Saccharomyces cerevisiae S288C: one gene and its partner. The protein of the gene in region 1 purifies or fractionates together with the protein of each later gene. This does not show direct contact. Each region holds a gene or a part of one and is shown on either strand. Other genes may lie near its edges. The genes, in order: PTC3 and TDA10.

What was found.
Region 2: the proteins of PTC3 (region 1) and TDA10 purify together in Saccharomyces cerevisiae (affinity purification with mass spectrometry, with the first as the bait; 2 studies listed by BioGRID). This does not show direct contact.

Annotation. Positions count from the first base shown.
Region 1 is NC_001134.8:111,990-115,751, forward strand, and holds PTC3 (type 2C protein phosphatase PTC3), read left to right. Parts: upstream 1-1,772; coding exon 1,773-3,179; downstream 3,180-3,762. Other genes in the region: protein phosphatase regulator SHP1, read left to right, coding at 1-719; PTH2 (aminoacyl-tRNA hydrolase), read right to left, coding at 812-1,438; YBL055C (3'-5'-exodeoxyribonuclease), read right to left, coding at 3,584-3,762.
Region 2 is NC_001139.9:907,123-910,585, forward strand, and holds TDA10 (putative ATP-dependent kinase), read left to right. Parts: upstream 1-2,090; coding exon 2,091-2,963; downstream 2,964-3,463. Other genes in the region: trifunctional formate-tetrahydrofolate ligase/methenyltetrahydrofolate cyclohydrolase/methylenetetrahydrofolate dehydrogenase ADE3, read left to right, coding at 1-1,652; YGR204C-A (uncharacterized protein), read right to left, coding at 1,939-2,052; ubiquitin-binding ESCRT-I subunit protein MVB12, read left to right, coding at 3,310-3,463. UniProt on the Saccharomyces cerevisiae protein: ATP-dependent kinase whose specificity is not yet known.

The DNA of each region.
Region 1 (3,762 bases):
AAAACGGATTCCGTGATGACGAAGACCATGAAATGGGTGCCAATAGGTTTACTGGAAGAGGTTTTAGATTAGGGTCAACCATCGACGCAGCAGATGAAGTCGTAGAAGACAACACTTCACAATCACAACGTAGACCAGAAAAAGTCACAAGAGAAATTACATTTTGGAAGGAAGGTTTTCAAGTGGCCGATGGTCCGCTTTATCGCTATGATGATCCTGCGAACAGTTTCTATTTGAGCGAGTTAAATCAAGGGAGGGCTCCATTAAAGCTCTTAGATGTGCAATTTGGACAAGAAGTTGAAGTTAATGTATATAAAAAATTAGATGAGTCTTATAAAGCTCCGACGAGAAAACTGGGCGGTTTTTCAGGCCAGGGCCAAAGACTAGGATCTCCTATCCCGGGTGAATCGTCACCTGCGGAGGTTCCAAAGAATGAGACACCCGCTGCTCAGGAACAACCCATGCCGGACAATGAGCCAAAACAAGGCGACACCTCCATCCAAATTAGATACGCAAATGGCAAAAGAGAAGTTTTGCACTGCAATTCCACAGATACAGTAAAGTTTTTGTATGAGCATGTGACATCAAATGCGAACACTGACCCATCGAGGAATTTCACCTTGAATTATGCCTTTCCTATCAAACCAATAAGCAACGATGAGACAACATTGAAGGACGCTGATCTGCTGAACTCCGTTGTCGTGCAAAGATGGGCATGAGCATAAATATACAAAAACAGAAACGGGAAAAGACTTCAACTTAATATATAAATGCACGTATATCTATACCCGTAGTATATATCATTTGTACCTCAATACAATTTCAAATCACCTGTTATTTGATCCAATACTGCTTTTGGAGCAGGTCCTAAACCCAATACGGTGGCACTTCCCGCAGCAATCTGTGTTCTACCAGCATCATGAATAACTGCTGCATTCACCCCAAGTGATATAGCCTTCGCATACAACTCGTCCATTGTAAACTTATCTGGACATTTCAACGTTATTTTAGCCTGTCCAGCATTTAGCCATCTTTGTGTCATAATTGGGTTGTATGAAGCACGCGCGGGGTTTGTAGCAATATGTCTAAAACATGACAATGCTGCGTGACAGCATTGTGCCGCTATTTTGCCCTTTGTCATGCCAAGATCTTGACGAATCACCAATGCCATCCTAACTTCTCCAGGTATATCATTCAATGAAGTGGACTCAATATCTTCGTCCTCATCGCTCTCATCTTCGCTTTCACTTTCCTCCTCATCAGTGTCATTGTGTAGCTTTCCTTCCTTCATTTCTTTAGAACGCAGTAAAGTAGCTGAGGATTTCTTAGTTGATGATGCGTTCGACGTACCCAACTGGTAACCCACGGCAAAGGAGATTGCGGTGAAAGTAGCCCATAAAGCTATGGTGTAATTCGAAGAAACTGTCATCTTTTCCATTAAAAAGACGTTATCATGTTACTCCGCTGTCAACAAGTAATATAGCAAGAAACAATTAGCTCTTATGCTTAAGAGCTTCTAGAAGAGTAGTAATAACCTTTAAACATTATTTTCGTCAGGCGTGATATCAGCGAGTTGAAGAAAAAACAACATGGGTTGTCCCTCAAGAGAATAAACTCAAAGGAGTAAAAGGTGTTTAGAGCTTGTTGGCTCGATTGTTGCCACCGGAAGGCCCCTTTCTGTTTTTAGACTATATTCATTTTACTTTTTGAAGTTTCTATTATAGGCAGACGAAGAAGGCCAAGAAGACAAATCGAAGAAAGAGAGAGATAACATGGGTCAAATATTGTCCAATCCAATTATCGACAAAGAGCATCATTCTGGTACGGACTGTTTGACAGCGTTTGGACTATGTGCCATGCAAGGCTGGCGTATGTCCATGGAAGATGCCCATATTGTTGAGCCGAACCTTTTGGCTGAGTCTGACGAGGAACATCTCGCATTTTATGGTATATTTGACGGTCATGGTGGTTCTTCTGTAGCGGAGTTTTGTGGCTCTAAAATGATATCTATACTGAAAAAACAGGAGAGCTTCAAGAGCGGTATGTTAGAGCAGTGCTTAATAGATACCTTTTTAGCTACAGATGTTGAGTTGTTGAAAGATGAAAAATTAAAAGATGACCATAGTGGTTGTACAGCAACTGTGATATTGGTATCTCAATTGAAAAAGCTACTAATTTGCGCCAATTCCGGTGATAGTAGAACAGTTCTATCTACTGGTGGTAATAGTAAAGCAATGTCATTTGATCATAAGCCCACATTGTTAAGTGAAAAATCTCGTATTGTAGCTGCTGATGGTTTTGTTGAGATGGACCGTGTTAATGGAAATTTAGCGTTATCAAGAGCCATAGGTGATTTTGAATTCAAATCTAACACAAAATTGGGACCTCATGAGCAAGTCGTTACATGTGTTCCTGATATCATTTGTCACAATTTGAATTATGATGAGGATGAATTTGTTATTTTAGCATGTGATGGTATTTGGGATTGTTTAACTTCTCAAGAGTGTGTTGACTTGGTTCACTACGGTATAAGTCAAGGTAATATGACGTTGAGCGACATTTCATCTAGAATCGTAGATGTTTGTTGTTCACCCACAACTGAAGGCTCAGGAATTGGCTGTGATAATATGAGTATTTCCATTGTTGCTTTACTAAAGGAAAATGAATCTGAGTCACAATGGTTTGAGCGTATGAGATCAAAAAATTACAATATCCAAACGTCTTTTGTCCAAAGAAGGAAAAGTATTTTTGATTTCCATGATTTTTCGGATGATGATAACGAAGTGTTCGCAATAACCACCAAAAAATTACAAGACCGCTTGAATCGTAGTAAAGATAATGACGACATGGAAATTGATGATCTTGATACCGAATTAGGCAGCAGTGCTACTCCCTCAAAGTTATCAGGTGAGGATAGAACTGGCCCTATTGACTTGTTTTCGTTGGAGGCTCTATTAGAAGCCGGGATTCAAATAAGGCAGAGGCCCAGCTCCGACAGTGACGGCAACACTTCTTATTTCCATGGTGCTTCTTTATCAGATATGTTGGCATCTTTAAGCAATGCGGCTGCAGGAGAAACAGAACCTAATGATGCTGATGATAACGATGATAACGACGGCGAAGAAAACGGCAAGAATGAAAATGCGAAGAAGGGTTCCAAGATTGAAGAAATTGAATAATAAATATTGTCGAACCGTACTTTGCAACGAAAGAGTAGTCAAACTTTGTTATCTTTATTTGTTATTCCTCTTCTGCCGATGGATTGTTTTTTACTGGATCATCTTTGCGGCCCATATTGAGGAGATGGTGAAATTCATAAAAATCATTACGAGAGAATGATAAATTGTAACAGAATTTATAAATCCTATTCATATAGATACATCTGTTTTTCCTTACTCTGTTTTTATTTTGTTGGTAACCTTTGAATCCTTTTTGATGAAAAAAATAGAAAAAAAAAAAAAAAAAAAATGAAAGCAATATCGACTGTATGTATATGCGCACCATAATTTTCCTATTAATAGTTTAAGCATAATTAGTGTACTTACTAAAAATAATGTAACTTTGCTCTTTGCACCAATAGATGTTACTCTCCAAATATCTTACAGGTCGTCTTCCACGTGGTATCTATCAAAGTAGCCAGATCCACGTCCTTGACTTCCGATACGACAATTGCTACTTGTTCCATATTACAAGGCTCATTACGGCCCTTGACCATGTAAAGTTCTTCTGCATTCAACTTGTCAGCGAGCTTATTTTTCTTAA
Region 2 (3,463 bases), on another chromosome or scaffold:
TTGTCCAGGCACTAACGGCTCACTTGGGCAAGCCAGCCATTGCGAACGTCAGACAACCCTCCCTAGGACCCACTTTAGGTGTCAAAGGTGGTGCTGCGGGTGGTGGTTATTCCCAAGTCATCCCAATGGACGAATTCAACTTACATTTGACTGGTGACATTCACGCCATTGGTGCGGCTAACAACCTACTTGCTGCCGCTATTGACACTAGAATGTTCCATGAGACCACTCAAAAGAACGACGCTACCTTCTACAACAGACTAGTGCCTAGAAAGAACGGAAAGAGAAAGTTTACTCCCTCCATGCAAAGAAGATTGAACAGACTGGGTATTCAAAAGACCAACCCCGATGATCTAACACCCGAAGAGATCAACAAATTCGCCAGATTGAACATTGACCCGGACACTATTACTATCAAGAGGGTGGTCGATATCAACGACAGAATGTTAAGACAAATCACCATTGGTCAAGCCCCTACCGAGAAGAACCACACAAGAGTTACTGGATTCGATATCACCGTTGCTTCTGAATTGATGGCTATTCTTGCTCTTTCAAAGGACTTGAGGGACATGAAGGAACGTATTGGAAGAGTCGTTGTTGCTGCTGACGTAAACAGGTCTCCAGTCACTGTTGAAGATGTGGGTTGTACCGGTGCCTTAACCGCTTTATTAAGAGACGCTATCAAGCCCAACTTGATGCAAACTTTAGAAGGTACTCCTGTCTTGGTCCATGCCGGCCCATTTGCCAACATCTCTATCGGTGCCTCTTCTGTTATTGCTGATCGCGTGGCTTTGAAATTGGTTGGTACCGAGCCAGAGGCAAAAACAGAAGCTGGTTATGTGGTTACTGAAGCAGGGTTCGATTTCACTATGGGTGGTGAAAGATTCTTCAACATCAAGTGCCGTTCCTCTGGATTGACACCTAATGCTGTGGTCTTGGTTGCTACTGTTAGGGCATTGAAGTCACACGGTGGTGCTCCAGATGTCAAACCTGGCCAACCTTTACCTTCCGCATACACTGAAGAGAATATCGAGTTTGTCGAAAAAGGTGCCGCTAACATGTGTAAACAAATTGCCAACATTAAGCAATTTGGCGTCCCCGTCGTTGTCGCAATTAACAAGTTTGAAACTGACACTGAAGGTGAAATAGCCGCCATTAGAAAAGCCGCTTTGGAAGCTGGTGCATTTGAAGCCGTAACCTCTAACCATTGGGCCGAAGGTGGTAAAGGTGCTATCGACTTGGCCAAGGCCGTCATCGAAGCTTCCAACCAACCAGTGGACTTCCATTTCCTATATGACGTTAACTCCTCCGTTGAAGACAAATTAACTACTATCGTTCAAAAGATGTACGGTGGTGCCGCAATCGATATCTTGCCTGAAGCACAACGCAAGATTGACATGTACAAGGAACAAGGTTTCGGTAACTTGCCAATTTGTATCGCCAAGACACAATACTCTTTATCCCACGATGCAACTTTGAAAGGTGTTCCAACCGGGTTCACTTTCCCCATCAGAGACGTCAGATTGTCTAATGGTGCTGGATACTTATACGCTCTTGCCGCCGAAATACAAACCATTCCTGGTTTGGCTACCTATGCTGGTTACATGGCCGTGGAAGTCGATGATGACGGTGAGATCGATGGCCTGTTCTAAGACAACTTAATTATATAGAATTTAATAAAGACAAATGCAAAAGTTTTTTTAAAGTATGGATGTATAATAATAATAACGATAATACGAACACTATTGGGACTAATAATGATTTATAGTTTTTTTTACACAGGGGATTTAACGTTCCGCGACCCTTTTTCCTTTAATTTAACCCCAGTTCCTTAACGTCGAAAATTTCCGATTCCGTTAAGGAGGAGAAAACCTAATTACCAAACGAAGCGGGGAGACGCATTAATGAGAACAATAAATGTATGAAACTTTTAGCAATCTAAATGATACTATACCAAGACAAGCGAACACTGGCTAGCACAATATTTGGGCGGAACGAAATAAAATAACGAAGATATACATAAGACACAAAGGAAAAAGCGTTCCATTGCATCTCTGAAGTGAATAATATAAAAAGTAGTAAAGCTAGAAATGTGTGATAAGTCAAAAACGGTATTGGACTACACGATAGAATTCTTGGATAAATATATACCTGAATGGTTTGAGACGGGAAATAAATGCCCCTTGTTCATTTTCTTCTCGGGCCCACAAGGCTCAGGCAAAAGTTTTACAAGTATCCAAATCTATAACCATTTGATGGAAAAATATGGGGGTGAAAAATCTATCGGTTACGCCTCAATTGATGATTTTTATTTAACTCACGAGGACCAATTGAAACTCAATGAGCAATTCAAGAACAATAAGCTGTTACAAGGACGTGGTTTACCAGGTACTCATGATATGAAATTGTTGCAAGAGGTATTGAACACCATCTTCAATAATAATGAACATCCGGATCAAGATACTGTCGTACTACCCAAGTACGATAAATCCCAATTTAAAGGAGAAGGGGACCGTTGCCCCACTGGTCAAAAAATCAAGCTACCAGTCGATATTTTTATCTTAGAAGGTTGGTTCCTCGGGTTCAACCCCATTTTGCAAGGAATTGAGAATAATGATCTTCTTACTGGGGACATGGTTGATGTCAATGCCAAGCTCTTCTTCTATAGCGACTTGTTGTGGCGCAACCCAGAAATCAAATCTTTAGGGATAGTATTCACCACCGATAACATTAACAATGTTTATGGCTGGAGACTACAACAGGAGCATGAACTAATATCAAAGGTCGGAAAGGGGATGACCGACGAACAAGTGCATGCTTTTGTGGATAGATACATGCCCTCCTATAAACTTTATTTGAACGACTTTGTCCGGAGTGAAAGTTTAGGTTCCATTGCTACATTGACGTTAGGAATCGACTCCAACAGGAATGTATATTCTACGAAAACGAGATGTATTGAATAGTGATGTTATGACCTTTTTTTTTACGCCTTTTTTTTTTTTTTTTTTTTTTTTAATTTATCTCACTTTTCCCTTCTATTTTATGTACTAACAGATAATTTTATAATGATTTCATGTATTTTTGGTTCAGAATTTTGACAAGGCAACTCTTGAATAATTGTCGTATGCAAAAAAAATTGTTTATCTGTTACATATCCATCATAAAACTTTTATAGAGCTTTTATTGTCCTTCTTATACAAATACCGTTCAGAGGCTGTCCGAGATTTAAGCGGTTTTGGAAAAATTACTGCTATTAATTAAGATTAAAAAGGAAAGGAAAATAGCAATGGGAGCTTATCGCATAAAAAAATGAACAATAATGTTGAAGAACTCCTACGGCGTATTCCCCTCTACAACAAATATGGTAAGGATTTTCCACAAGAAACAGTGACTAGGTTTCAGATGCCTGAATTTAAGTTACCAGCGCTACAACCAACAAGGGACTTATTATGCCCTTGGTACG